Linked DNA regions of Coturnix japonica. The protein of the gene in region 5 purifies or fractionates together with the protein of the main gene of each other region. This does not show direct contact. Links are inferred from orthologs where the notes say so. Each region holds a gene or a part of one and is shown on either strand. Other genes may lie near its edges. The genes, in order: CDC27, ANAPC2, ANAPC7, ANAPC4, ANAPC16, CDC26 and ANAPC13.

Region 1 (4,049 bases), on a different chromosome or scaffold from region 5:
CGCCCAGGAGAAATTCATTAGGGCCAAATGGGTTTGCCCCAGCTTTTTATAAACCTAAAATAAAAGCATGAAATGCTACGTTTACAAGGTGCTGTGTGAAAGGTTGGACAACAAACACAATAAGTCACAGTTAACTAACACATATGAGAAGCAGTAGAGTAGATTCAAACATTTATTACACAAGTCCAGAGGGAAACAGCAAAAGCATGTAGAAAAAGTGCATGAGTGTTTCTGCCTAAGTGCCCAAATTTAAATGAAGTGATCAAATGAAATTAGCAGCCAACAGATTCAAGAACATAAGGAAGTGGTTCTTCAGATGTAATTTAAGCCTCGGAACTCCTACAGCCTCATTAAGATTTCCCACTTCCCAAACTGATACAGAAGGATATCGCCTTCTGTAACCCACTTGCAAAGGCCATCAGCTGAAACAGACACGGAGGAGTAAAAGCACCCCACAGACACTTACTCAGCACTTCTGATGCAATATTAATACATTTATACATTTGAGCATGGTTCAACACTTTCACATCTCCAGGCCCAAATAACCAACACAGATGACTGATAGTCAGCCTAGCCCTGAAAGCTGTTCTAACTACTGCAACCTCTTTGCAGTTAAAGATCTCAATAAAGATCCATTTCTTGCTTTCTAAAATGAATTCCTCTGAGACAACAGATGTAAAAGAAGACAACAGGAGCTTGGGTTATCTTTTCTTGGGTGGTTATAAAAATAGCTTGAGGTTGCTCCAGTCTTTTAAGGCTGAAAGCTGTTACGTTGGAGAGCTGTGAGATTATATGCAGCAAGTCTTATTGAAGGCTCTGTGAATTTTACAATGCTGCCCCAAATGTAAACAGCTTGGCAACAGGCTTCAAGTTTCCTCATTAAGCAGACGTTTCTGCAATGAAGGAAAACAAAGTGCTTACAAACACAGTGAAATTTCACCTACCTTTCCTATTAAGAAGTAAACAAGAGACTCTTTGGGAACAATCTGCTTCAGTTCTTCAAGTTCTTGCAAAGCAGACTGAAAAGGAAGAAAAAAAATAAGCACAAGCTGGCAACCAGCAGCCAGTTATTGCATTGCTGAACTGCAACTCAGAGCTGATGCAAACCTCGCAACTGACATACAGCACACTCCACCACAAACAACAGTACGGCCTCATCAGAAGCACCTCAAGTTTCTTTTACATTAGTTTCTCCTTTAATGGCTATAGAATGTTATGGCCCAATTATTACAAGCACAGAATAAATACGCTGGGCTTTGGTCTCCTATAATAACATCTAATTTTTTTTCTCCTGCTCACAGGTATCCTCTGCTTTTGACTTTTAATCTCCTGCTCAGTGAAGGTGGCACTTCTTGAAACAAATGCTTTATTAGCTGCTCTGCCTCAGGCTCTTCCTACTCATGCTTCAAGCCTTAATGCTTATCACTGCATCCCCATCCGCTGCTGTAGCAAGTAACAGATAATCTAAGGTTGTCTACGTGCATCAAATCTTACCTTGTATTTCTCATTTGCAAACAGTACAGAAGCTCTATGGAATTTGCATAGTGGGTTCTTGGGGTCGATGTTAATTGCTTTGTTTAGAGTATCCAAAGCCTTTTCAGATTTTTTCAGTGCGTGTTGGACCTGTAACAGAACAGGAATAAAATCTCAAAAGGGGAAAAGAATAAAGTAAATTTGACTGGTGCTGCTACGTTTACTTACAACCTGTTCCTACTGAGTCTTAAAGAAACCAAGCTTTCTCACAGGTAAGCCTATGCTATCAGGTTGAGTCAGTAAGCCATTTCAACACTGGCTAAAAGCAACTGGGGGGAGGGAGAAAAGAGGATTTATTTTCTGACACAATCCCACGGTTATTCATTCATGCAATAAGATCCTCTAATAGATCCTCTGAACTTTGTTTTGTTTGTTTTTGCACTTCAAGTTCAGGAAGGTTGCAGGTAAAGGGCAGAGGCAAATCAGAACATAACAAGGAGAGAGCTGAGCGCAATCTACTTACTACTCCAATGTGACACAGTAAGACTGAGCTCTGAGGATTGATATCAAGTGCTTTCTGGAAATGCATTTCTGCTAAACTGAATTTCTCCTGTTTGTAATAAATCATTCCCAACCCATACCTGCAAAAAGGAAAAACAGTTCCATTAATAAGAGTGCATCTTAAATAAACTAATTGTCATCAGCAAATATGGACTGGTAGAAGTGGCACATATTTAGAAATGACTCAATGACAGAAAAGTCTCACAAAATTCACAGCAGCGTTTGCAGCTTATTCCTCCCAAAGGTGCTCCATATCACATACAGCAGAAGGGGGATGAAGCAAGACTTACCATGCATTGTAGTGCCTGGAGTTGACTCTGATTGCATTCCTAAAACAAGCTAATGCCTTGTCTAGCTCTTCTGTTAACACAAATTCATGCCCCAAAAGGGTGTAGGCGTAAGCATAGTTTGGATCAACTTGAATGGCTCTCTGGAAGAACTTGATTGCAATGTCATGCTCTCGTTGCAAGCTGAAGCAGTTCCCTGCAGCACACCATGCCTAATAAAAAACAGCATTCTAAGTTAGAAGTGTCATTTCACAACCTGCAGAATGACCAAGTCTGAGCTAAACAGATCTTCTGTCACTGATCTATGCAATTATGTCACTTGCTACTAGATTATAAACAACAGTTTTAACAGTACTGACCAGTTGCTTCACTAAGTCCTCCTTCCTCTAGTACAAAATAGAATGACCTGAATAGGTTCATCTCCAGCAGAAAATCCCAACAGACTCCACAGCTTCCCCCACTCTGTCAAGAGCAGATTTATATCCCCTCCACACACATACATACTTATTATTGGGGCACATGTCAGCTTGCTTGCATGTCATGTGCATGTTATAATACCAGCTCAACGGACTTCAGCATAAAAATATTTTCAAGCAGCGTTGTACAAGTTGTGCAGGAAATATGAGTGCCAGTGAATTACAGCAGTTAGAAGATAATATGAGAAAAAACATCCCTTATCTTTACATGTGGGCATCAGCAGGGACAATTGATCAACCCATGATCTTCCTGGATTAACAATGTCAATACAGATTCAAATCACCATTAATAGATTAAAGGTTCACAACGTGTCCCATATAAGCTGATATTCTAACGCCAAGCAGCCATTTCAGGCATCATCAGCTCAACAGGCAAATCCTGCCACCTCCCTCTCCAGTTTCACCTCATATTTCTCAAGTGAGAATGAAATCCTAATCCAGCTCCAGTCCAAGTTCTGTTCCCTGTCACTGTCTGTGCCGCACACAGTTACTCATCTCACTGAGCACCACAGCATTTTGTACCTCTGGTGAGTTTTTATCCATGTCTGTTAAATCCTTTGAAAGAACTGACAGAGCAACATCTTTCTGCAGATGCCACAGCGTAGTTGAATAGATCTCCATGCCTTCTACTCTGTAGTTTTCAATCCTCCTCACTTCTGAAAATATCCTTTCAGCCTAAGAAAGGAAATGAGAAATCAAACAACAGCAATTCCACCCACTCAAACAGAGCACACAGATCAAAGTTAGAAGCCTCATATGTCCAGAATGAGAATTCTTTGCTATGCAAACATGAGGCAGAGCTACAAGTCCTGTTGTATTTTTATCTTCCCCACCAAAGGAAATGACTGCACTCCAATACAGTTAGACCAAGCAGAATTCCAGCTGCCCTCCCTGCTTGTGACTCCTGCAGGAAACAAGCACAACAACTGTCAGGGCAACAGAGAGAATAAGAGCTGAACGGCTGGATTCATCTTAGCTGCTTTTTTCTGTTGTGAAGCAGTTTGCTATCACCTCAGCTGCAAAGGGAACCAGGTCATCAATGGATCTCCATTAACTAAATAAGGGGGGGGAGAAGAACACCTGGTTTTGGAACCTGAATTGTTTCAGTGATTATTTACAGCACTGCAGTACAAACAGCTGCATCAGCCCAAGTGAGGGTGAAGATGGAGAAAGGCAAAGGGAGACTCCCAGGACTGGATGCAAGAGGAAGTAACTTCAGCATTAAAAGAAATCTGAAGCACAACTCAACTTC
Region 2 (4,990 bases), on a different chromosome or scaffold from region 5:
GCAGTGAGTGAACACACAGAGAGTGAGTGGGAGACACCGACCTCGAATGATGCTGAACAGCTCTTCGATCAACATGCCGGCGTAGATGCGGTAGAAGAACCTCTGGACGTGGCAGCGCCAGCGCTTCAGGGTGCTGCTGGCTTCTGCAGAGGGGCGAGCCAAGGGACCGTCCTGCAGGAACACTCTGCTGAGCCAGCCCAGCACCTTCTCGATCCACTGCAACAGCAGAGGGAGAGCACAGGGATGGAGGACAGCTCTGCAGGGTGGGATATTCCATCCTGCAGAATTCTACTGGTTTTCAATCTAGGGAATGGGAGCAAAGTGCCAACTGCAACATCCAGATATTCAGAATAATTGGGTTTACTTCCTGCTTAAGGTGGCAAATGTGTAACACCACCTGAGGCAGCACCTGAGTATTAAGAGTTATGAGGCGGCGTTATGTTTTGATAACCAGCTTTAGGTGTGGTGTGCTGCTGTTAATGCTCAGCTGTTTGACCATGGACTGGAGGAGTGCATGAGTTCTGCCCATAGAACCACAAGGCAGAAGAATGTGCTGCAGCACAGAGCACCCAAGCACCAGACCTGTACTGGGAAAGCTGAAAAGCAAAAGGGAAGTGTGATCGTTGATGCAAAGCACCTGGATGGTGAGGAGCACCTTTACCCAGCCATTCTCCCCAGGAGTTTGTCTCTGAGTGCCCCTTTACAGCAGGGCCAGAGAAGAAAGTGTTGCACAGCAACTGTAGGGAAGCCAACACCAAATCACCGCCTGTGTTTGCAGACAACACAAATGCCCAGCACGGCACACAGCGAGGAAACCAGGACAACAGCACGGAGCTGCCTGGTTCGCATGGCAACCTGACCTCACACTTTGTTCGTCAGTGCAGACCAACGTAAGGCCATGCATCAAGGAACAAAGAGCACAGAGTGAGTGTGCAGAGCACAGCCCGTGTCCCAGAGCACAGCCCGTGCCCCAGAGCAGCCGTAACCTTGAGAAGAGCTTTAAGGTCATACACAGCAAAGAGCTCGACACAAACTCAGTGCAAGGCAGCAGCGAGAGAACTGAGGAGGCGTGAGGAAGGACACTGGGCAAGACTCTCCCTGGAGTCTTCTCTACTCCAAGCTGAACAAGCCCAGTTCCCTCAACTGAGAGAGCAGACCCTCTAACATTAATCTCAAATGTAAAGTTTTAACCACTCCTCTTCTACCAGGGCTGGTGGAAGTCACAGTCCAGGACTGGGGAATTGAGGCAGAGTTGGGAATTTAGCAGCAGGAACAGGAGCAGCTCCACATCTCCATAGCCAGGGCCTCCCTTACCTCCTGGAACTCGTTCAGGAAGGAGTGCTCATAATCACCCCGGCAGCGTCGCTCCATCCTCTCCTTGATCATCCTGTGCAGGATGGTGGTCACAGCATCAGCACTCACCCTCTCCAGCAAATTGAGCTGGCGGCTGCAGACACAGAACCTCGAGTGAGTGAGCAGAAGCAAAAGCATGAAGAGAAAACTGAGCTAACAGAGCACACCTGCTGCCATGTGCTGTGCAGGTGCTCTTAATTTAAGCACTCTGATTGCAGGCAGCAATAACACATCACACAGCTGCCATCCTATCTTCAGAAACACTGTCATAGGGTTATAGAATCACAGAATCATTTGAGTTGGAAGGGACCTTAAAGGCCATTAGGTCCCACTCCCTGCAGTGCACAGGGACACCCACAGCTCCATCAGTGCTCAGAGCCCCAACACCTGCCCTTGGCTGTGCCATACGTACAGGATGTCATTGAGCTGCCGGAACCGCTCCATGGCCGTGGGGCACCAGCACTGCTCCCTCCTGCTGCCGCAGCCCGCACACACCGCGCTCTCCCCTCCGCTCTCCTCCGTGTCACTCTCCTGCTCGGCCTCACTCATGCTGCTCTCACACTCATTCATTCCCTCTTCTCCCTTCTTCCACTGCCGCATGTATATCCGGAAGGTGCGGCTGTAGAACTGCTGGATCATCTCCTGGAAGGGTTTGGTGGTGGAGAAGAACAGGATGGCTTTGAACATGGTGTACACCTTCTCCCGCAGCGTCTGAGCTCCCGTCCCCAGGAGCAGCCCGGCCTTGGTGCATCCCTCCAGGAGCTCCATGCTGCTCAGGTAGGGCTCCAGGCGGCACTTGAGGAGACAAAACGCATCCAGGAGGAGCACTGAGCACTGCTGCTCCTCCGCCGTGTTCTCATATTGACCGACGCAGTTCCAGAACTCGGGGGCGATGTGTGCCTGCAGGTCGGTCTGCAGCACCTCGAGGAACCACTCCTCCACCGCAGCGTGCAGCCCGTAACAGCGCAGCACCTCCAGGGCGGCCCGCAGCTCCGCATCCTGCAGTGGGCGAACCGGGTCACAGCGCCCCGCTGCCTGGGGAGCAGAGGGGATGAAAGGTTGAGCACGGAGCACACAGCCAGACCTTTATGCCCCCATCCCTGGGCACGGTGCGGGGCTGGCAGCCCATGGCAGGGGGGGGTGGGCTGTAAGGATTCTCCCAACCCGACCATTCTGACTCTAGGCAGACACGTACCAGGGGGGACCCTCGACGTGTGGGCTGTGCCCATCCCACAGACCCAAAGCTACTGGATTAAAATCAGTTCTGTTGCTTGTATATGTTAACTACATTACATATTTAACGAGGGCTGCTCTGAAAGTGATGCCTCCTATTTTATTGTACTGGCCCACAGTGTCAGAGGGGGATGTGGGTAGGACGGCAGCCGAGGCTGAACCTCCCACCAATACACTACTGCTATGTGACGTACGGCAGCAAGGGGCAGTCTGACATGGAAGCGAATGGAGCACACGTCTCTCGTTCATCACAGTGCCGGCCAATTTGCTCTATTTACGCTCCCATCTCTTTGTATCTATCGCAGCTCCTACAGAACACAACAGGAGGCATCACTTTCGGAGCGGACCAGCACCACCTCTATGCCCTCGGACAAGCCGCATCCCGCACACGGCAGCGATGTGCCGGGGGGGGCTCAGCCCAACCACCCGCACAACGGCCACCGTTACCCCCATTACCCGCTGCTGGGGCCGCACCGTGACCCACACCCCCCCATCCCGTCCCGTCTATCCCCCCATCCCTTTGCCCCCTCTCCCCGCTCACCAGCCCCAGCGCTGCGGGCGGTACCAGGGCGGCACTGAGTGCGCTCCACGCCGCCGACAGCCCCGCACCCGCCGCCTCCATGTCCCGCAGGAAGGGGCGGAGCGCGGAGCCGCCGTTGGGGCCGCACGATGAGCGGAACCGGGGAAACGCTGCAGGGCTACAACGCTGCGCTGCTGGAGGGTGGGTGAGCGGGGACGGGAGGGGGGCAGCGAGCAGCCGGTGCTCACACGGTGATGGTGGTGGTGGTGGGTCCGAGCAGGGCTGGCCGAGCTCCGAGCACGGCGGGATGAGCTGAGCGAGAGGATCCGGGAGGAGGAGGCGGAGAGAGAACGGCTGCAGAGCCGCATCGCGGCGCTCACAGAGCGCTTGGCCCGAAGCTCCGAGCGAACGGCGCGGAACCTGGCTGCAAAACGGCAGCTGGAAAACAGCATCGCTGAGAGCGAGGCGGCTTATGGCAAGGTACGGCCATAGGGAACCCCATACACCAGGGGGAGACAGAGCGGGGAGGAGTTGGTGCAGACATTTGAGGTCAGGAATGGAGCTCTGAGCACTGATGGAGCTCAGGGTGTCCATGAGCACTGCAGGGAGTGGGACCTGATGGCCTTTAAGGCCCCTTCCAGTTCAAACGATCCCACGGTTCTGTGCCTGCTCCATTCAGCTGAGCTCAGCTCTTCATTCAAGCCCCACTCAGCACTTGAAGAAATAAAAGTTTCTCCAGGTGGTCGCCTACATTTTCCTTTCTCACATGTGTCTTTTGAAGTGCTGTAAGCACGGCATCCTCCTCACCCAGCCGGACCTGCACTAAACATGGGAAGTGCTGGGGGTTGGGAGGCAACCAGCTGCCACAATTCACTCATTAGTAATAAATATAAGTATATAAATAAATATTTGTGGAATATTTATCATCCAGCACTAAAAGAGAAGTTGGTTCAGCTGCCATACCCTGTGTAAACCCTGATGGACCCTCTGCATCTCCCACATTAGCTGCTAATGACTGTAAAGAGTCAAGACTTCCATCAGCACACACCCCAATGCAGCACACGAGGGGCACAGCCCAGCTGCCGCACTCAGCCAACACACCTCATAGGGCTGTGATGACACACAGGGATGTCAGACCCACCAGGACACTGTTTGGAAGGGAAGGTGATGTGAGGAAGCACTCCAGGACCCAAAGGTTGGGGAGAACTTGTGTGAGAATGGAACAGCTTGGAAGCGGTGTTGTAAAGTTACACCACAAACAGCACAGGTTGGAAAAGAAACCTTCCCTGAGATACAAACCACGACCCCCTGTCCTACAAACAAAGCCGTGTTTATTGAAATTAGGGGACAGAGTCACAGCAGGTGAGAAGCCAAGGGGTGAGGAGAGGAAACATGGTCATCCTGCAGACTGAAATGAGGAGCAGAGTCCCCTCCTGTGCATTCAGGTCTCTGTGTGATGGTGCTCCTTGCCCTTCCCCGGCCCAGGGGAGACTCAGGACTCACCCTAATACACGCACCATGCTCTGATATGGGGGAAAGACAGCAGGATCCCTCTGCAGGGCTCCTCACCTCTCCCCTGACCATTTCATACCCCTGTGAGGCCATAGGAATGAGTATAAGCTATCACTGGGACTGAAACAGCCATGTTCTGTTACAGGTGCCCACTGTAAACAGGTGAGCTGCACAGGCAGTGAGATCTAAGCCTGGTGTTGCCTTGATCTCCTGGGCACAACAGATGGGAGTGTGAGATGGTATAAAATATGTGCTAAAAACAGAAGAAAATGAATGAAAGGAGTGAGATTTAGTCTGATTTAAGGTCATTGTGGGGTTACTTATCAAAGCAAGAGACCTGAAGCATGCAGGTTTAGTAGTGGAAAACACTGA
Region 3 (5,057 bases), on a different chromosome or scaffold from region 5:
TATACTCAGGAGAGTATTTGCTGGTATTCATCTCCTAAAGGCACAGCAGACTCTGTTCACTGCAACCCCAGTTTACAGAACCACAAAACAAATACTTGAGGCTGTGGTTTTGCAGGGACACTGCACTGCTGTTCTTGATAAGTCTTAATGGTTTAGGGATTGTAATCAATTGTTTGGTTGGTTCTTTCAGTGCAACTCTAAAGGCCAAGGAGAGAAAGAGATGTACACGCTAGGAATCACTAATTTCCCAATCCCTGGGGAACCTGGCTTTCCACTTAATGCCATTTATGCCAAACCTACCAACAAGCAAGAGGAAGGTAAGACTTAACAAAGACCCCTAAAGACTTGCTTTGGTCCAAGCTTTACCAGCTGTGTTTTTGCAGTTACAACTAGAAAACTTCTAGCTCTGTTTTCTGAGGTCTTCTGATCTTATAACTGCTAGATAGATTCTGTAACAGAGCTCAAGCTAACTCCTACACTGGCAGAGAGGAAACCCATAATGATGGGCAAAGGCTTAGCTGAAAGAAGAAAACAATTGAGATATGTTTTACTCATACAAATATAACAAATCCAAGTATGGCTGTAAAATGAACAGCCAGCAAGGGCCTACAGATGTGAGAGCTCACATTTCTTGCTGTAGGCAGTGATGTCCGCTGCCTTCACACTCAGTTTAGTTTGCCTTAATGCTACTTTGTCCTTGTGCTGTATTTCAGAGGTGATGAGAGCATACTTGCAGCAGCTCAGGCAAGAAACTGGCCTTCGACTTTGTGAAAAAGTATTTGATCCTCAGAGTGACAAGCCCAGTAAGGTAAGGATTTGGCCTAATGATCACAGATTCAATGAGAGGCTTGGTTGCTTTCTCCAAAAGATGGAGATGCATGAATTACATCCTGGTCTTGTATTTCATGTGCAAATATATTTGCATTTCATCATGAAAATTATTCAAGCTAATTTAGTTCCAAAGGCATAGCTTTCTGATGTTCATTATTACACTGCAATAAATATATTGGAATTGGTATTAAACCTACTTTTAAGTCACTATTTCATTTATAAGATAGAAACATCTCTTGCCTGTTTTCTAACTGTGTGCTTTCTTCTGCAGTGGTGGATCTGCTTTGTGAAGAGACAGTTCATGAACAAGAGCCTGTCTGGACCTGGGCAGTGAACAGACAAAGCAGCACCATGAAGCATTTCCACAGCCAGGTGTATGAAATATTCTGCCTTTGTTTTGGATATATTTTGTACCAAGAAAAAGAAGCGTATATGAAGAAAAAAGTCAACGAGGGGAAGAGGGGCGTAAAGTTAAAAGATCATTTGAGTACTGTAAGCAAGTAATATTAAGCTGGTGCTTAATAAATGATTCCTATAATGCTGTTCCAGATGCAGGCTGCTTTATTATCAGTGGCTACAGTTAGCATTTACAGCGGGGAGTTTAAAGAGAAGCGTTTGTGCCTGGAGTGGTGTTAATTGCTCTGCTGGATGGAGTCTCAATGTTGTGGTGAATGCAGTGATTTTTTTTACCTCTTTTTTCCCCCCTCCCCAATAAACTTAGCTTGTAATTAACATGATAATGGCTTTGTCTTATGGTTAGCCATCGTGATATCGGCAAATGCTGTTTGTTCTGAGGAGCTGCTGGTCTGAGCTCATTTCATCTCCTTTGTGGCAATACCTTCACCATCACCACACAGCACTAACGTGCCTTTTGTGGTACTTAATGAAAGAAGGAACACTGAGGTGTCTGTTCCACCTCACTACTCTCCTATGAGAGTTACTGTGTGCTTCAGTTCACAGCAGCACCACTGAGGTGTTTCACCTGTGGGCAGCCCATGTTTTGAGGCCTCCCTCTCCTCAGTTTCCTTATAGGCACAAGCTTTGCCACCTCACATCACTGCTGCAGCCATCACACATTGAAATCTGAGGAGAAAAGCATCCAGGCTCGAGAGCTGCGCAGACACAAGGTCTAAATCTTAAATTAAAATAAAGAAATAAAGATGCTATGACGGGACACGCCCTGCAGCATCATCTCCCTGTTACCACAGACATCACGTAGCCCCGCCTCAACAGCACTGCGGCGGCGCGGGCGCCTGTGGGCAGCGTTACGAGGCCCCGCCTTGGCGCCATTTTGGAGTGGCGGCGAGCTGAGCCGGGCCGCGATCCGTTCCGTTCTGTGTTCTTCCTTCTGTCCTGTCCTTCCTCCGCCATGAGTGTGGTGGAACACGTACGGGAAATGGCCTCCGCCGGGCTCCACTCCAACGTGCGGCTCCTCAGCGGGCTTCTCCTAACCATGAGCGGCAACAACCCGTGAGTGGCCCTTCTGACGGGACCGGGAAGGAATACAGGCCCCTGCCTTCAGGCCCCTTCCTTCCCGACGGGCTTGGTGCGCTGCCGTTGCTCAGGCCCTGAAGGGATGAAGCTGTGTTCTCTCAACCCACCTCAGCCCAGCAGCAGCGGGCCGTGGCCCTGCATGGGCTCCCCCAGTGGAGATACAACAATTTCTTCCCTTACCAACGGTGCCCCGTGTACATCACAACGCTTCCCTCACTCTCGCGGTTCCGGTTGTTTTTCAGAGCTTTCCTGAATCGTTTTGGGTGGTTTTATGAGGTAGTAGAGCCACAATCCCATTCTGAAATCCTTACATTTCAGCACAGCTCCTCACAGTGCTGCTATCCATGTAGTAAAGCAGCAGTAACAGCTCAAAGTTGAAGCTGGATGAACATCTTGTAGTCTGTCCTTGTTTCTCAGGCTATTAGGCAATCTCAGCCTGTCTGTATCTTTCCTAGGGAGCTGTTTTCACCATCTCAGAAGTACCAACTCCTCGTGTACCACGCAGACTCTCTTTTCCACGACAAAGAATATAGAAATGCCGTGAGCAAGTATACGATGGCTTTGCAGCAGAAGAAAGCATTGAGTAAAACCTCCAAAGTGAGGCCTTCTACTGGGAACGCTGCATCAACTCCTCAGAGCCAGGTATTTAAACACTAACTGATGTGCTGCATGTAACTATTGTGCATCCCCCTCTGCTTCAGAGCATGTTGGAGTTTCAATATTGTGTTAGACCACAGACTGCTTGTATGTTTGAAGTGTAATTCATGGTTTTGGAAGAGATGAGCAATGTAAGCTATCAGTAAGCTACATTTTTACCTTTCTTGCACTGGGTATTTTTAATCTATGCTAAGCATTAAACGAGACCATATTAATGTAACAACTATGATGTTGTTGCAATGCTATAATGCTATAACGTAATGGAAAGCACAGCAATAGCAGGGTGGCATAATTCTAGGCCGCAGCAAATGAAAACAAGCCCTGATACAGTAGCTGTGAATACAGAAACAAAGGAAGAAAATCTGCTTACCTTTAGAAGGTCTCTAGTATGCAGGCTGCTAGTGTAATACTTCCACCTTCACTGCCAACCCTTAAATAAGGGCTAGGAAGAGCTGGGTCCTTGCTCCACCCCTTCCAGTTACTCAGATACATTGTCTGCACCTGAGCTTCCCTGGGTTGGTCCTTCCCACCAGCTGCTCCATCACTGTTTCAGTCTGTGACATAACATTTCCACTACAGTTGGCCTTCAATAGTTGTATTTCATTTCAGTGTTTACCGTCTGAAATTGAAGTAAAATATAAAATGGCTGAATGTTACACCATGCTGAAGCAAGATAAAGATGCTATTGCCATTCTGGATGGGATTCCTTCCAGACAGAGGACCCCAAAGGTTTGTTCTGGCAGATGTTTGTCATCGGTGCTTGCTCAGAAGGTAGAAAAAAAGGTTGAGGAAAGCAAACTTAATCTATATACACTAGAATGTAGCAGGACTCAGCTAGTTGGACTGCACAGAGCTTAAATTGTTTCTGTTCTTTTATCACTGATTACAATTTAAAAGCTAAAAAGAAACATTTCATGCCTTCCTTCTCTTGAGAGCTTCCATTGATAGAAGAAATGAACTGAAAGAAGATTAGTGCAGTGGATGTACAGGTTCTTCTTGTCATACTTAAAACACTTGTCCATTTTTGGATGTCACAATGCTGGGGTTTCCAGTTGTACTATGTAAATAAAAAGATGTACATTTTACATTTGGACTCAAGAGTCAATATTAATTTTATAATACATACATAGTAGGTTATAGTGATCTCTACTCAGAACGGAAGGGAGGGACGGCATGCTGGAGGGAGGGCAAAGTTGTGACCTTTTCTTAGTGAGGACTCCTTTCTAATACTTGCAGATCAATATGATGCTGGCAAATCTATACAAGAAAGCAGGTCAAGAACGCTCCTCTGTTACAAGCTACAAGGAAGTACTGAGGCAGTGCCCGTTAGCACTTGATGCCATACTAGGTAGGTTTCTCCACGCTGTTAAGTACATCAATCCTAAGAAGCATTATAATTTGAAGCATGGTTGGGACTAGGTAATTGACTGCCATCTCTAGGTAATATCTGATGCAGATGTATTTAATGCAAACTATAAATTCGTGACAAATTGTTTGTGCTTCCTTGTCTTCAGATAATTTGTAGCAACGGTGATTGAAATTGTTCTGTATGATTTTGAATACCTCTGTGAACAGGTTTGCTGTCGCTGTCAGTGAAGGGTGCAGAAGTGGCCTCTATGACAATAAATATCATTCAGAGCATTCCAAACTTGGACTGGCTTTCAGTGTGGATCAAGGCATATGCGTTTGTGCATACTGGAGATAACACTAGAGCCATCAATACAATTTGGTAAGATTTGGAAGAGTGTGATGTAATCAAATGCCATAAAATATTTCTTCAATGACATTTTATAATATCATTACACATTAACAACAGCAATTTGTTTCTCTTAAAGCTCTTTAGAGAAAAAGTCACTGCTGAGGGATAATGTAGATCTACTGGGGAGCTTAGCAGACCTGTATTTCAGAGCTGGAGATAATAAAAACTCTATTCTAAAATTTGAACAAGCTCAAATGCTGGATCCTTACCTAATAAAAGGTGAGTAAATCATAGTGGAAAATTTACCTAGTATAATGTTCTGCTAAATTAAGTTAGAGTAGCAAGCAAATATTGTCTCTCAAACTTTTCACTGTAG
Region 4 (4,285 bases), on a different chromosome or scaffold from region 5:
ATAACAAAGAGGCTTGAATTTAAGTTATTCATAGTCAGTTTTTAAGGGTTCTGGAGGGAGTGTGGAATGTTTCTTTTTTTCATATATGAAGTTCAAGGAATAAGCTAAAAAAAAAACTGAAGTCTCCATCAATTTACATCTTTTCTCCTTGGTTTAAAGGGATTGTCAGGCTACCTTATAATCAGCTGCTGTCAGTGCTATATCTTCTTCCTTGGAAGATTTCTTGAGGCACACTTAAAGGCTATCTTGTATGGATTACTTAAGCTGGTCTTGGAGACACCATGAGTGCTTTAAAATAAACATCTCATATTAGGAAATGTGAGGAACACCTGGAGGATACATAGTTTAGTATACTGAGACTGGCTTTGTAGAGTGCTTGTGATGTGGCAGGCAGTCTCCCTGTGCAAAGTGTGATGTTTCAAACGCAGACAAAAAGCAAGAGGTCATAGGAAAGCATTTTTCTGAGTCGTTGTGTAGCAAATTGATTTTAGTAAGTGATCAGAAGACACACTTCTGTTTGTTCGTGATCCTATTTTTTGAACTGGGTCTCTGTTTCTTTTCCCGTTGTTTGTGGCTGTTTTTTTTTCTGCTGTATCTGTTTTATCATTTTATTTCTGCTGAGGTTTTACTGAGGAGGCCCACTGAGTGACTGTGACACCCCTGTAAGTGCTAGATGCAGTTCTCATCAACCAAATCCAAGCTAGTAATATTTTTTCATTTGGTTTTAAAATTCCTTGGGTTGTAGACAACAGCACAGTATTTGCTTTAGTAAAAGGAACGGATATTAAATATTAAGAATGACATCTGTATGCAATAAAAACTGACTTCTGAGAGCTTAGGAAAAAAAGTTGTCTATTTATTTTCATATACTCATCAGCACATGTTCTGTTTTTGTAGGCTTAATGCTCTTGTCCTTGGTGGCAGCTCTGGGTTTATTGAAATTTATGCATATGGAATGTTCAAGATTGCTACAGTAACTGAGGTATGTTTGCTTCTGTATTTTTTTCTTCAGTATATACCAAACTGCAGCTGAATTGAATGAAATAATGCATCTCTAGGTTTACTTGTAACTGAAACTGGATAGTTGAAATTTTACAGGAAGGAATAATTACTTCCTTGGATAAGGTTGTGTGGTTATTGCTGGAAAGACATTCCAACTCTAAGTGGTGATTTTAACATCTTGTTTGAGAAGTAACTAAGCTCAATGCTAATCCATGTTAAAAGGGGTAAATTCATTCTTGAACAAAATTCCACTTGGTTTTTAAACATCATTGAACACAGCCTGCTTTGTATGTGAGTGTGTTACAGCAGTAAATATATATGGGAAAAATCCAGCATTTCATTAACATTTAAACTGGAATCCTTCAGGTGGCAGGTTCTTGTCGTGGACTCTGTTTATCTAGTGATCTGAAATCACTATCGGTTATTGCAGAAATACAAGACTCTCCTGACAGTGAAGCAGAGATAACTTATTTTCAGGCAAGTAAAGTAATTTTAAAATGTTCTTTCTTTTACTTTCTTTCACCAAGCTTTATCGCTTTTCCATTATTTGCAGGAAAATCCTACAATTATCGTTTTCAGCCTTCCTGAAATACACCCTGACTTAGTTTTTAGATTTATTGCATTGGCTTGCAGTCTCACAGATGAGACTGGCTGTAACGCTCTGAGGCCTTGTGATAAAATACTTCTTTAAATATAACATTCATTTATTCAGTTACAGTTGCTCTGTATTTCTTCATTATTCACACAGAGGTGTAACAGCCGTTCTGTTCATCGTCCATTCTATCCAGAACAGTCATCCTTCAAACTCTTGCTGTTAGAACCCCAAAATTAGAACCATTCTTGAGAGCTTTTCTAGGTAGATTAAAATACTAATTGCCCTGTTTTCTTCCTTAATGAAAAATCAACTTAATGAAAACGAGAAATACTGAGTTTCTCTGTGGGTCCTCTTCATCTGGGCTTTTATTTCTGTAACCTGAAACTCTTTAAAAAACAAATGATCTGTTAACTGTTCTGTTTGTTATAGCTGGACACCAGTCTGTTATCAAATTATTTACCTGAGGTAACTCGAATGGCCCGGAAGTTTACTCACATTTCAACTCTGTTACAGGTACAGTTTTGTCATAACATCTTTATATCTCAAGTTTTAGAGGCTTCAATATTCTTACAGGAAGTAAAATTTTTCTAGTAGGGAACTTCTGTTGGTTTTAAGTAAATGTGGAGCTCTAGTTTGAGAAGTTGATAATACATTTCATACAATATCTGTAGCATATATCTTCCCTTTGTGTAATAACATTCAGCTACTTAATATATACTGAAAGGGAAAAAAGGGAGTGAGGCTAATTTTAGTGTCTGTGTTGCAGTATATAAAGTTGTCATTGACGTGCATGTGTGAAGCATGGGAAGAAATACTGATGCAGATGGACTCACGGCTAACAAAATTTGTGCAGGTATTACAGTATTAACTGCTCTCTTGGAAAACTGTTTCTGTAGTAGGTCTGCTGTTCGTGTTAACTACACAGTGTATTATCTTAATGCTGTTTATTTAAGGCCTCCAGATAGCAGTCTCTAAGTTCAGAGGTGATGGTGCAGATATCTGAGTACAGTCAAGTGTGATTGCATTGTGATACTCCTTCATTTTGTTTATTCTAAGTTATTTAAAAATGATATTTTTCAGCTTGCACAGCTATTGAACAGTTGCTGTTTAAGGTTGTGTTCTTTGTACTTCAGTCACTGATAAACTGACTACTGTAAATGTTGAGCAGCAGCCCATCACTGACTCAATGGAGCATATATATCAGATCATATATTTGCATCTATTTTGTGTGCATGGCTGGCTGTTAATTGAATCAAGTAATTAATGTATTTATTTTTAACATAGATTCTTGATGATGGAAACTGCTTAGAATTTTTCCTGAGTATTACAACTGAAAATAATTGAAAATATTGAACTTGAATCATTTAATTGAATTGAATTTCCAAAGATGAAAGTAGGAAATTTCCAAAGTAGTCTCATTTCAGCATTCAGTAAGGGTGGGTTTTATAATGTACTTGGTTTGAGGTATCTGTGATGCTATTTAGTAGGTTGAATGTAATCTCTTTACCAATCTATTTCAATCATTTTGGCTGACAGGAAAAGAATACAACCACTTCTGTTCAGGATGAGTTTATGCAGCTGTTGTTATGGGGCAAAGCAAGGTAGTTACTGTTGTTTTATCTGAGTATGCATTTGCATTTGATGCTAAAATACAAAATGAAAGCATATTTGGTTTTCTCTTCCTGTCCCTTTTCAGCCTGGAACTGCAGGCATTATTAATGAACCAACTGACAGTAAAGGTATGTTAATATTATTTAACATCTTAGAACTATGCATTTCAGTATCTTTTAATCACTGCTCATTTACATTAAGAAAACATTATTATATGCTTATACTTCTTTTTTAACAGGGTTTAAAAAAGCTTGGTCAGTCCATAGAGTCCTCCTATTCCAGTATACAAAAATTGGTTATAAGTCATTTGCAGAGGTGAGTCACAAAATGTCCAATAAATTTTAGATTAAGTGGCATATTATGTACTTTGCTAAAAAACTGGGCATAGTGTCAGTGGTTCTATATATATGGATTTTTTTGTATGGTACCGTGGCAATACACAATGTACTAATTTACTCATGGGAGCTGTATTTTGAGCAATTTCCATGGTGAATAAGCTATATATCTCTGCCTGGTATTTTTATAGGAAATTTTCCCCAATGTTGTGTGGTGGTTAAAATTACAAAGACAATGTTTGCTTTTCTGCAAAGTCATAATGCATTCTTAACTCTTATATTCCAGGTGATTTTATAAAGATCTCCACTTTGCCCATTAAAAGATAAAAACGTGGTGCACAGTGAAGTAGAGTTATCGAACTGTGACCACAAGATTGTTTCTTTGCTTTACTTTCCTAGTGGCTCAGAAGCACTGTTATACTACTTGAGTGAGTTGAAAGGAATGGCTTTATGGAAACAAAAATATGAGTCTCTGGGATTAGATGCATCTGGAATTGAAGGTACAGTAGTGTGTGCCCTACTTAACCACACTCATTTCACTTCTGTAAGCATATTAGCAATGACTTGCTCTCTTCACAGAGGCTACTACTGCTGTCGGTTCTTTCATCCTGAAAGCAAATGAGCTGCTTCAGTAAGTATAAAGTCTGAAGAATTTTAAGGTGGCTATTGAGAAAGCATGTGGCTTGGGGCCGAGAAGGATGGCTGGGTATGGCTCCTCTGTTGGTGGTGAGCTCTTGTCTTG
Region 5 (3,175 bases):
ACAAACCGGCTGAAAAACAAGGACGGGAGGGGGGGGCTCGGCGGGGCTCAGCCCCAGCGGGCACCGAGATGGTGAGAGCCGGGCAGTGCCGCCCTTGTGCCGTGGTGCCCCCATAGCCACGGTGGTGGCAAAGCTTCACTGTGTGCAATGAGAGCCAAAGGTTTATTTCTGATGGTGGCACACAGGGTGGGTGAGAGGCAGGCAGAGGACAGCCGTGTTTTCAGCACCTTTGGCCACAGTGGGTTTATGCAGCTGGGGTAAAGCAGCGTTCAGGTAAGAGGAGGAGATGTGATGGGGGCAGGGCCGCTGCCTGCACACGCATCCCAGTGCCCGGCACACAGGAGCTGGCTCTGTGCTGCTCCCCACCACGTCCTGCACTGTGAGGGTGCTCCCACCGCCTGCAATCTCAGCCCCTCTCTCCAGGTGATGAAGAGTTGGCTCCGATACCAGAACTCCTTCATAAACAGAAGCAAATGCAAAACACGGCCCCGTGCTTTTCCCCTTTGGTTTTTGTTACCACAGATCGCTGGCAAAACTGCTGAACTGAGTCCAGATTCAATGGCGTCTCAGTCTCAATCCAGATGTGGCTGGACTGAGGCCGCTGGGTTAAAAGGGAAAAAATCAGCTGGGAAGTCAGATAATGAAGATGGAAAAACTGGGCAGCCGGATTGTGAGGTTGTTCAGCACTGAGCCCATCCCCCTGCTGGCGAGCACGGCGTTAAGGCTCCAATGGAAAATGAACATGTTGAGATGGTTATGGCAGAAAGCAGAAAGCCAGTTCTCCTTAAGAACGGAGCTGAGGTACAAATGAAAAACAAGATGATTAAAATGCACGGATTGGAAGCGGGATTAAGATCTGATTTAAGTCAATCCACTTCTGAGCATGAAGCAGGCGGCCTTTGTTTTCCTTCTCTCTGAGGATGTTTTTGATTGTACTTAGTTTACCATTACAGCAGCCGAGGTGCCTCAGAGCTCCATTAAACCTCGTTCCCACCTCAGCAGCTGACTGCTCCTTTCATCACACCCTGCCCCCACACCAAGCGGTGAAGAGCAATGGTTTCAAAGGCAGAATTATTTTATTATCACAGAGCACTTTAACACGTAATAAGGAGGAGAAGGGTTTCAGTGTATTCAGGGTACAGCTTCTGCGTTAAAGAGGGATGTGCCACCAGCACCGTGCAGACAAAAGGGAAACAGTGCTGGGAAGAAAAGGGTTTCAGCAATGCAGGAGGCAGCGCTGGACACAGCCCTGCAGGATGGGGCTCACCCTGTCAGCTCCTCGAAGAAAGGAGCCTTGCTGGCAGAGCCTGGCAGTGCCCAGCAGAGGCCGGGCTGGAGTGGCACAGACACACACTTCCCAGGCAGGAGATAACCTGGGTCAGCACACAGGAGGTAAATGACAGGCCAACTTACTGGGCTGCTTCCCCTGCCACTCGGCTTTACGTCCCCCCTTCTTTCTTTCTTTCTTTCAGCCCAATCCCGCTGACACAGCTGTAAATACCCTGATAGATGGTGGTGTATTTTGAAGCTGGGCCAGAGAGCTCCTTCCTTCTGCTCTCCGGCAGCAGGGATCCAGACGTGCTCAGCCCGAGGAGGGAGTGAATCCCAGCAGCTGCTCTATTGGCTTGTACCTCCACTCATCTGCCTCCAGCTCCTCCACCAGACCGGCCAGTTTTTCCATCCGCGCAACTTGTTGATCTGCAAGAAGTTCAAAGGTAACCCTGCTTTGCAACGACACTGCAATTAAACCTTGCAATTAGATGTAAATTCCCAGCTGTCAGTGGGGAGCAGAGCAAAGAACTGACCTCACCAAAAGCTGATTTGAATGCAAACCCACCATGTGCACATGGAGATTGGACCTCACCTGATCACACAAGGAAGCAAAAGGGCCAGGCTTTATTGCTTGGGCAGTGCTCAATCTGTCTGCTACACATCCCTGCACTAGCCACAATAGTTCAAGTCGTAACAGAGGAACATGAGGACAGTGAGCGTATGGAGGCACAAACAGCCCCGAGTTCTTTTCTTTAGCATAAACATTTACGGTGCAAAAGAACAGAGTTTAGAGAAAGCCTGGCCTGCATAGGGCAGGGCTGGGTGCAGCACAAGGAGCTCCTCCTGCCAATGACGGTCCTTGGAGAAGAACCTGGCTGAGTGCAGCAGCAATGCAGTGCAATCACAGCGTGCTAACACACAGCAGATCTGGGAGGAGAGGCAGGTTGCCTCCCCGGGGCTCCCTGGGACAACTTGTTCCCCTCAGCTTTATTTCAAGCCAGTTGTGCGCTTGGCACGCAGACTCCATTTTCAATTAAACGAGCTGCAGTGGTACGGAGATGAGAATAGCCCTTCTGCTCTTGGCTGCACTGCAAGTTTCAGAGCTTGGCAGCCTCTTGGAAAAAAAAAAAAGGGCCTGTCGGGAGCCAAGTCGCTAGCAAAAGGCTTAGCTTAAATGTGCACAGTTTGTGCTGACTGCAGCCACAGAGGCTGGGTGCTTTTAAAAGCGCCTGTTCTCACTCCACCTCCTGCAACTCGGTATTTTGGGAGCCATCAAACAAACACACACAACGATGACCTCGATCTTATTTTGAGCCATTCCCCTTTCCTTCAGGGAGGCAACCAGCACTCCACAAACCAGTTCCAAAAGCTGCTGCTCGTTGGGGTGCTGGTGCACTGGTAGTTACAGGCGCAGGAGAGTTGGGGCTGTGGAAACAATGGCTCCAAAGTTCAGCTTTGCTTTGCAGCCCAGAAACACGGGATCACGGCCTCACAAGCCGCTGCACACCCTGAGAACTCCTCCTGGCAGCCATCAAACTGCAGGACAGGAAACCTCTCCGGTCTGAGACAACACATGGAAGTGCCCATTCTAGCTGATGAGAGGTGGAGCCCAGAAAGGATGTGACCCTCGAGAAACAGATGGGCTGTGGTGCTGAGCTCTGCCCGGCACCCTGAGAATGAAGCCGTGCAGACGAGCCCATCCTTCGGTTATCAGCACCTGGGCCACAGCACAGACCCCGGGAGGGAAACAAAAGCTCACGCAAGACTCTCAGGGAGGGACAGAGCACGGTCAGCCCCACAGCTCACTGCACACACTTACAGAGTGCACATCCTCTCCCAGACACCTCTGGGAACCTCGCTTGACCCTGGCAGGGCTATGAAGGCTCAGCAGGGAAACAAAGGC
Region 6 (3,215 bases), on a different chromosome or scaffold from region 5:
GCTCTCAGTACAGACCTCAGCCCTGAGCTGAGTTCAGCACCAACCTGTGTGGTTTCCCTTGAACAAGCTGCAGCTGTTGCAGGGATGTGTGACTGCGCTGTGTTGACAGTAGTTCATTCATATACCTCTGACTATCTCTAAAATAAAACTTCTGCTTGACTTGATCTTCTTGCTATCAGTGAAGCTTTTTAGCCACCTTTCCTTTTGCATTCAAGTGCCCAGACTTGAATTCTGACTGTTCCAATCAGAGAAGGATAAGTTGGAACTATGCAGTAGCTGCGGCTTTTATAACATAAGTTCAGTCCTGCTTGCTTTTCTGCATCACTGTATGTGCATCCTCCCTTGAAATCATCTCTTTTGAGGGTTAGTAACTGTTGACAGTCCTGAGGAGCCTCCCTGTGCCCCAGCCTCCCTCCTGCCCACCTGATGCTGTTTGCTTCCCCAGTCTGAGCAAAACCTGCCCACTGTGATACCGACTTGCACTTAGTGCGTTGGATGTTGGATGCCATCCTGGCCTTTATGCTGGCTGTATTTCAAGCTGTCCCAGTGTTAACACTAAACTTGTGTTGAGTGGTGCTTAGAGGGAGGTGAGGACTCTAATATTAGATTATTAGACTTGAGTAAATGAAGTTCACGTGTCAGCATATGTAGCATGCTTAGAATGTGATCGCTGTGTCTGTGAGTGCACCCTGATACTTTGTCTTTACATGTCTGTAGGAAGCACAGTGTATCCAGGCTGTGTTCATCCCTGAGCTTCTGTTATTTCCCCCAGTGCCTTCTCAGTTGGTCTGCAGCCCCAGCAGACCCAAAAGGACGGATAGTTTTGTTTACAGCAGACTGTCACTTTTGATTTTCCTCTTGCTCTTTGTGAAGGTAACTTATCTAGTAACGTATCAAAGATCTCCTGTATATAATTAACTAATAAAGCAGATGCATTTTACTGTGGCTGTGTGCTTTAAAAACAACCGTCAATGCTGCAGCTGTGCTGAGTGAAGGCTTTTACTTCCCCGTGCAACCAAAGGAGACCCAGGAGCTGGTGTCGGTTTGTAAAAAAGCCCATTTATTAAAACAGCCTCGTGTGGCTCCGTTCGGTACCGGGAGCAGCGGCACCGTCAGAACTCGAACGTGCCGAAGTGCGCGGCTCGGACCCCGGCCTTGTGCTGCGGTTTGTACCCGATGCGGTCGTTGATGAGCTGCTCCCGGCTCTTGTGCTCGGCTCCCAGCGCGATGCCCGCCGCCTCCTCGCCGCCCGCCACGTCCGCCTCGTCCCGCTGCTTCTTGCGGCTCTGCGGGGCGGGGGGGCCGAGTCAGGGCCCCGGTGCCCGGGACAACCCCCGACCCCTGCCGGTCCTTCCCCTTCCGTCCCCGCGCACCTCCAGGTCCTTCCGGACTCCCTCGAACTCCTCGATATCGTCCAGTTTCAGCTCCAACCTCGTTGGTTTCCGTCGCAGCATCGCTTCCGCCGCCTCCCGGCCCCTTCCGCTCTGTCACGCACCGCCCGCCCCTTCCGGTTTACCCGGTGTGACCCGCCGCTTCCTGTCCGTCACCGGAAGTGCTCCGTTAGGCCGTCGGGCAGCGCAGTGATGGCGGCCGTGCGGGCACCGGTGGCTCGAGGCGGGGCGCGGCCTGCGGCTGTGAGGGGCCCCGCACCGCCTGAGGTACGGGAGGAGATGGGAAGGAACGGAGCTGGGAGGGCTGTGACGGGTCGGGCTGTGACCGGTAGCGCTGCGGCTTTGGGGTGTTATCACAAGATCCTGTGGTTTCCGTGCCGTGTCCGTTATGAGGTCAGCTCTGCACTCAGCACACACGGATTCCTATCGGTTCTGTCTTTCCTTTGCAGCCCACGAAGAACAAACCGTCCGAGGATGGCGATGCTCCCCCCGCCAAGAGGGCGCCCATCTTCTATGGCAGCCTGGAGGAGAAGGAGCGGGAGCGGCTGGCCAAGGGGGAGCCCGGGCTGCTGGGGAAGGAGGGAATGAAGGCGGCCCTGGAGGCCGGGAACATCAACATCAGCAGCGGTGAGAGCACAGCAGCATGGGGTGGCCTTTATTTAGTGTAATCGAAAGTCACTCCAATAATATCTGAGCATACATTAGGTTTGATAAGGGGAGGCTTTTCCCTGGGTTGCCAGCTCTCTGTTGGGATCTTCCTGTTGGAGGAGGATCTCCTGTCCAGCTCCTGTGTCCAGGCTGATGGTTTTGCTTTGGTGCAGGTGAGGTCTTTGATCTGGAGGATCACATGAGTGAGCGACAGGCCGAAGTCTTGGCTGAGTTTGAGCGCAGGAAGCGAGCCCGGCAAATCAACGTCTCCACGGATGACTCTGAAGTGAAGGCCTGTCTGCGAGCCCTCGGGGAGCCCATCACGCTCTTTGGAGAAGGTCCCGCAGAGAGGAGGGAGAGGTGCTGTGTCTGCCCTTGTGTGTTGCAAAGAGGGAACGCTCAGCTTCCCCCACTTTATCATATTCCCACTGTTTTCCTTGTAGTTGGCGTGCAGCGAGTGCTGCCGGTCTGTGTTTGGTTACAACATAACAAGAAAGAATGGAACACAATGAGTGTTTGTCCACCAAGTGAACGTAACCTAACGTGTTTCCTTTCAGGTTAAGAAATATCCTCTCAGTGGTCGGCACAGATGCATTAAAAAAGACAAGGAAAGATGACGACAGGTCGAAAAAGTCTAAAGAAGAGGTAATGATTTCTCAGTGCCGGAGGAGATTTATACAGTCATCTTTGAATACCTTATTTTGGTGGTCTCTGAGACATTCAAGACCTGGTTGTGGTCAGGGTGCAAATTCTAAAATCATCCCTTTCTTTTTCTTTGTTGCCCATTTTAGCAGAACTGTCAATGCACTGTTTAAATCGGCAGCATTAAGCTTTTTTTTGGCTTTGTTCTTTTCCTTACAGTATCAACAGACTTGGTACCATGAAGGACCACGGAGTCTGAAAACAGCAAGGCTGTGGCTTGCTAACTACTCGCTTCCCAGGTAAGGAAAACTAACATCAATGAAGGGGAGAAGTGCAACATTTTGTAAACTCTTAACTACTAACCACATTGTGGGTAGTGTAGTAAATTTGAGATCAAAAGAATGAAGAACATGTTCCGGTAGACAAATCTGTTAGCCCAGTAATGGGGAAGTGAGGGTTTCTAGCAGCAAGGCATGGGAAATGTGAACATCTGGTACTTGATCTTTGTTCTTCACAGGGCAGCGAAGCGTCTGG
Region 7 (3,927 bases), on a different chromosome or scaffold from region 5:
TAAGAAGTGGGCAGATGCACAGACAACCATCAGGGCTGGGAAAGGAAGCCTGAAATTGGAGCTGGAAAATCCTGTGGCAAAATTGGTGTGATGGGGATGGAGCCTGTGATGGAGTGAGAGAGGGGAAGGGAAGAGAGAACAGAGACGGCTGCTGGGTACACAAAGCCACCACGCAGCTTCTAGTGTTTTCTTTGCAGGGAGAGGGAACATGGGGAGGATCAGAAATACCTCATTAAGCCCAAGCTCTGTTTTGCCCCCTGCTGAGATACAGCGAGGAGCTGAACTATTACAGTTCCCAGCAGCGTAGCTGTTTCTAAGGTCTATACTGTACATATGAAGCTTGGGTTAATCCTGAGCAGCCTGCTGGCTGCATGCAGCTCCTTCTTGTTCAGATGAGCTCACTGCTGGCTCAGAGCAGGCACTGCTGACTCCTCAGGCAGGGGCTGCCCCAGCCACTCAAACCAAGCATCCTCCTACTCAGCGCCCATGTCCTCACAGAACATCCAACGTGCTCAGCCAATAGGGATTTTGAGTAACCATCATTTGAGCACAAATCGCACCATTTAAACAACGTGTAAATATACAGTGGTCAGCACTGGCAGCGAACTCTAACACAAAACACAGTTATACCTCTTGGGACATAAACCTCCACGGTCACAAACATCCCATCCCCAGTTTTGACATATAAGAACAACTCCAGATGGTGAAAAAACACATTTTTTATCATGTGTAGAAAACACTTAAGAACAGAATTGGCACCAAGTAAAGAATAAGTTAACAGAGAATTTGTCGTGAAATGCCCCCGGATTCATCAGTTTCCTGTGGGAGGGACGTTTTCATGGAGATACTGCAGAGATAAATCCGTCCACTTCATTTCTTGCTCTTTCACAGACTCAGTTGTGCCTCCATTGTCTTGCTCTGGTTCAGGGAGCTCATTCTGAGAACGACAAGAAGAAAAAAGGTACAATGCATTCAGTGCATAACAAGCTGCCTAAAAAGGAGCTGGTGACGAAGACTTCCTATGAATAAATACAAAAAAATCCACAAATGAGACTGGAGGGGGCATCTGAACAATACATATCATACATCCAGATTCAGTTAAAATATTACTGAGCCCAGGGAGGAACAATGTGCTTTTCATATGATTATGATGCTTCATCTGAAAGGTAAATTGGCTTTCCAGGGCCCCGGGGCCTTGCTATGTACTCAGACTGCACACGCAGTGAAGGAGAATATAGAGAAAATGCAAAATAAGTAAATAATAACACGGTGCAATTATTCCATTGCTTGTTTAGATTGTGGTTCTTTGTTGCTGCCCAGAATACAGATACTGCATTTACCGTAGCTCTATTAAGACAGCTGGCTTTGTAACATATCGCTTTCTTATGGCAAGGTGAGAAATCCTTCCTCTTGCTGCATGTGGAGCTCTGCTGTGGCTGTGCTGTAACAACAGGAGATACAACACCAAGCTGCTCAGCATGCAGGGGGGAGGAAGGAGAGTTTAAATGCGATTTCATTTGACTTCCTCGTGTTATTTGCTCCCCGTGTTGCTGCATTGGTTATTATTGGTTTTGGAGGAGGGCAGCTGCTTCCTGCCTCCTCTGCTGAGAAGGAGCTGCTCTTCTTCCAAGAGTGATGCCACACTGTGCTGTAAGGGCTGAATGATGTCACTGCAATTTGGCAATGTCTCTTTGCAGGCATTATCAGATGCCGTGATTTTGGCCGGCTTACACCTGTGCGAACAGGGAAGGGGAGGATCCTCACCCAGAGGGTGGTGACGCACTGAACATGTTGCCCAAGGAGGCAGTGGATGCCTCATCCCTGCAGGCATTCAAGGCCGGGCTGGATGTGGCTCTGTGCTCCACCTACCAGCGGGATGGCCACGTCCTCGTACGGCAGCTTGTCCTCCCTCCACGCGTCATCGATCAGGTCCAGGATGCGGCCGTCCCGCTGCACCTCGCTGTCCATCCTCACCCTCCGAGGTAGCTCCGTACCAGCCCCGTCCCGCGGGGACTCGAGCGGCCCCAACGCGCTCGGTTCTGCCGGCAGCGCTCCGCCCCATCCCGCAGCGATGTTCCGGCGCCCGCTGTACCGTCATCACCCGCCGCCGCCTCCGTTCCTTCCCCTCCCCGGCCGGCAGCGCCCTGCGGGTGGGCTCGGTGCGGTCGGTGCGGTCCGCTCACTGTGCGGTACCTTCTTGTTCCGTACAACCAACCATTTCTCTGCCCCGTCACTTCGTGTCTCTGCCCTTCCTGCTGCCCCTCTATTTCCCCCACCTTTCCCCTCCCGCTGCCCGTGGATGCGGTGGCCGCTGCTTTGCGTGGTTTCCCCCCTGCTGACCCCGCCGGCGCTGGGTGATGGAGGCTCTGCTGGCAGGCATGCAGAGGAATGGCCAGGGGAGGTATGTATGTACGTATGTATGTATGCACCGCTGTGTGCCCGGCCTTTACAACAGCCTCACCGCGGGGCTTCCCTCTTAACGCTCCTTGCCACTCTTCTGCCAAGCTCCCATGGTGTCAATGAGACCCTCGGTACCTTCTGCAGGCGGATGGATGCAGCGCACAGCGACGTGGCTGCTTCGGCACTTTGCAGCGGTCCCTCAGCGCCTTGCAGTCTGTATTTTGCCTCTCTAAGAACGTTATCCCTTTGTTTTCCCCTTTAAAAAGCCCCCTCCTGCCTTGCAGTGCGGTGCTAAGTAGAAGAGTGAGTAAATCCTTTTCTTAAGAGCCCGGTGAGGTTAATGAGACATGCTGAGAGCACCTGATTACTTCCTGCTTGTGCTGGAGCTGCAGACACCCTGAGGAACCCTTAGGTGAAGGCTTGTGGGCTTGGAGATGGAATAACAAGGCTTCATTTATCAAACAAACACAAAACTAAAGGCACTGACACCATTTCCATTGCCGTCTTTGAGGAGGTGACTCAGTGCTGTATCTTTTGCAGTTAACTGGTTGTATAAATGCAGTCTAGACATAGCTGTGTATCAGCAGATGCTGAGCAGGAGGTGTTCTTGCTGTGCATAATAGCTGCTAATTTTTGGGTAACTCGCAGGCCGGGGTGAACATCCAATTTAACTGCTTTTGGCTGCTCTGAGAGCTACTTCTTTCCCTATAGAAGATCTGTCAGCTTGTGAAGGCTGGGTATGTATGCTCTGGGGGAGCAGGGAAATTTCAATCCCTTCACCTATTGATTTCCGTTCCTTTTCAGAGCCTTCCATTTGACAGTCAAATTAAATGGGTGAAGATGATCATGGAGTTCACAGCCCTCCAGGGCTGTATCTTGCAAGCCTTCATACCGTCCTTAGCTTAGCACTTGTGAAGTTTTACAGGGCTTGGTTGAATTGGCTTCAATAATTACTGCACAAATTAGAAGCTGCGGCATCGCCAGGGAGCGTGCTTTCCCCAATGGGTTGGGGATGTTTTATTCTTCATTATCATGTTGTCATCCAACCAACGTAGGGGTTTGTCTGCATTTGTGATATGCTTTTGTTTTCGGGAGCTGAGAGGTTTCTCTGGTGACTGAAAGGGGGTATAAAAGAGCATTAAGGGGAAATGCAAAGTATGGGCAGAATAAGTTGTGGTTTATTTAGGTAATGCGTAGTACCAAGATAAAGGGACCAGTGGTCATAGGGGCTTGCTGTGACATTAGAAAACAAAACACACTGCATGTGCTCTGACTGGGGTTTCCAAAGCATGCCCCATTAGTCACTGCCAAGTTTAGGTCTCTGCCCAGCGATGTTCCGCACCAATCACTGGTGTCACTGGTGTCACTACTGTGGGGATGTGGGACCTCTGTGCTCCTCTTTGTGACCTGAAGCTCTGTCCCTTCCAGCAGTGGGTTCCTGACATCCTGCGAAGCTGAGCTGCAGGAGCTGATGAAGCAGATCGACATCATGGTGGCTCACAAGAAGGCAGAATGGGAAGGACAGAC

The links.
Region 1: the proteins of ANAPC16 (region 5) and CDC27 purify together in Homo sapiens (affinity purification with mass spectrometry; 10 studies listed by BioGRID and IntAct, with this or other methods). This does not show direct contact. The link is inferred for Coturnix japonica from reciprocal best matches to the Homo sapiens genes ANAPC16 and CDC27.
Region 2: the proteins of ANAPC16 (region 5) and ANAPC2 purify together in Homo sapiens (co-immunoprecipitation; 5 studies listed by BioGRID and IntAct, with this or other methods). This does not show direct contact. The link is inferred for Coturnix japonica from reciprocal best matches to the Homo sapiens genes ANAPC16 and ANAPC2.
Region 3: the proteins of ANAPC16 (region 5) and ANAPC7 purify together in Homo sapiens (affinity purification with mass spectrometry; 6 studies listed by BioGRID and IntAct, with this or other methods). This does not show direct contact. The link is inferred for Coturnix japonica from reciprocal best matches to the Homo sapiens genes ANAPC16 and ANAPC7.
Region 4: the proteins of ANAPC16 (region 5) and ANAPC4 purify together in Homo sapiens (co-immunoprecipitation; 10 studies listed by BioGRID and IntAct, with this or other methods). This does not show direct contact. The link is inferred for Coturnix japonica from reciprocal best matches to the Homo sapiens genes ANAPC16 and ANAPC4.
Region 6: the proteins of ANAPC16 (region 5) and CDC26 purify together in Homo sapiens (co-immunoprecipitation; 5 studies listed by BioGRID and IntAct, with this or other methods). This does not show direct contact. The link is inferred for Coturnix japonica from reciprocal best matches to the Homo sapiens genes ANAPC16 and CDC26.
Region 7: the proteins of ANAPC16 (region 5) and ANAPC13 purify together in Homo sapiens (affinity purification with mass spectrometry; 3 studies listed by BioGRID and IntAct, counting the BioPlex papers as one, with this or other methods). This does not show direct contact. The link is inferred for Coturnix japonica from reciprocal best matches to the Homo sapiens genes ANAPC16 and ANAPC13.

The regions. Positions count from the first base shown.
Region 1 is NC_029542.1:2,302,638-2,306,686, reverse strand, and holds part of CDC27 (cell division cycle protein 27 homolog), read right to left. Parts: intron 3,473-4,049; coding exon 3,320-3,472; intron 2,534-3,319; coding exon 2,325-2,533; intron 2,115-2,324; coding exon 1,997-2,114; intron 1,624-1,996; coding exon 1,495-1,623; intron 1,020-1,494; coding exon 945-1,019; intron 55-944; coding exon 1-54. UniProt on the Homo sapiens protein: Component of the anaphase promoting complex/cyclosome (APC/C), a cell cycle-regulated E3 ubiquitin ligase that controls progression through mitosis and the G1 phase of the cell cycle.
Region 2 is NC_029532.1:1,026,810-1,031,799, reverse strand, and holds the start of ANAPC2 (anaphase-promoting complex subunit 2), read right to left. Parts: upstream 3,230-4,990; 5' UTR 3,209-3,229; coding exon 3,128-3,208; intron 2,389-3,127; coding exon 1,766-2,388; intron 1,448-1,765; coding exon 1,315-1,447; intron 217-1,314; coding exon 42-216; intron 1-41. Other genes in the region: SSNA1 (Sjoegren syndrome nuclear autoantigen 1), read left to right, coding at 3,256-3,307, 3,387-3,586. UniProt on the Homo sapiens protein: Together with the RING-H2 protein ANAPC11, constitutes the catalytic component of the anaphase promoting complex/cyclosome (APC/C), a cell cycle-regulated E3 ubiquitin ligase that controls progression through mitosis and the G1 phase of the cell cycle.
Region 3 is NC_029530.1:4,516,714-4,521,770, forward strand, and holds the start of ANAPC7 (anaphase-promoting complex subunit 7), read left to right. Parts: upstream 1-2,080; 5' UTR 2,081-2,200; coding exon 2,201-2,301; intron 2,302-2,780; coding exon 2,781-2,967; intron 2,968-3,591; coding exon 3,592-3,711; intron 3,712-4,218; coding exon 4,219-4,330; intron 4,331-4,557; coding exon 4,558-4,711; intron 4,712-4,817; coding exon 4,818-4,960; intron 4,961-5,057. Other genes in the region: ARPC3 (actin-related protein 2/3 complex subunit 3), read left to right, coding at 191-317, 714-808, 1,103-1,165. UniProt on the Homo sapiens protein: Component of the anaphase promoting complex/cyclosome (APC/C), a cell cycle-regulated E3 ubiquitin ligase that controls progression through mitosis and the G1 phase of the cell cycle.
Region 4 is NC_029519.1:66,523,119-66,527,403, reverse strand, and holds part of ANAPC4 (anaphase-promoting complex subunit 4), read left to right. Parts: intron 1-897; coding exon 898-982; intron 983-1,368; coding exon 1,369-1,479; intron 1,480-2,026; coding exon 2,027-2,110; intron 2,111-2,363; coding exon 2,364-2,450; intron 2,451-3,133; coding exon 3,134-3,198; intron 3,199-3,293; coding exon 3,294-3,336; intron 3,337-3,446; coding exon 3,447-3,523; intron 3,524-3,942; coding exon 3,943-4,043; intron 4,044-4,122; coding exon 4,123-4,174; intron 4,175-4,285. UniProt on the Homo sapiens protein: Component of the anaphase promoting complex/cyclosome (APC/C), a cell cycle-regulated E3 ubiquitin ligase that controls progression through mitosis and the G1 phase of the cell cycle.
Region 5 is NC_029521.1:9,575,830-9,579,004, reverse strand, and holds the end of ANAPC16 (anaphase-promoting complex subunit 16), read right to left. Parts: intron 1,699-3,175; coding exon 1,583-1,698; 3' UTR 1,058-1,582; downstream 1-1,057. UniProt on the Homo sapiens protein: Component of the anaphase promoting complex/cyclosome (APC/C), a cell cycle-regulated E3 ubiquitin ligase that controls progression through mitosis and the G1 phase of the cell cycle.
Region 6 is NC_029532.1:814,771-817,985, reverse strand, and holds CDC26 (anaphase-promoting complex subunit CDC26), read right to left. Parts: upstream 1,486-3,215; 5' UTR 1,455-1,485; coding exon 1,374-1,454; intron 1,287-1,373; coding exon 1,113-1,286; 3' UTR 1,040-1,112; downstream 1-1,039. Other genes in the region: PRPF4 (U4/U6 small nuclear ribonucleoprotein Prp4), read left to right, coding at 1,584-1,658, 1,841-2,018, 2,213-2,399, 2,597-2,684, 2,901-2,980, 3,199-3,215. UniProt on the Homo sapiens protein: Component of the anaphase promoting complex/cyclosome (APC/C), a cell cycle-regulated E3 ubiquitin ligase that controls progression through mitosis and the G1 phase of the cell cycle.
Region 7 is NC_029524.1:2,642,791-2,646,717, forward strand, and holds ANAPC13 (anaphase-promoting complex subunit 13), read right to left. Parts: upstream 2,080-3,927; 5' UTR 1,969-2,079; coding exon 1,870-1,968; intron 938-1,869; coding exon 812-937; 3' UTR 700-811; downstream 1-699. Other genes in the region: CEP63 (centrosomal protein of 63 kDa), read left to right, coding at 2,358-2,401, 3,829-3,927. UniProt on the Homo sapiens protein: Component of the anaphase promoting complex/cyclosome (APC/C), a cell cycle-regulated E3 ubiquitin ligase that controls progression through mitosis and the G1 phase of the cell cycle.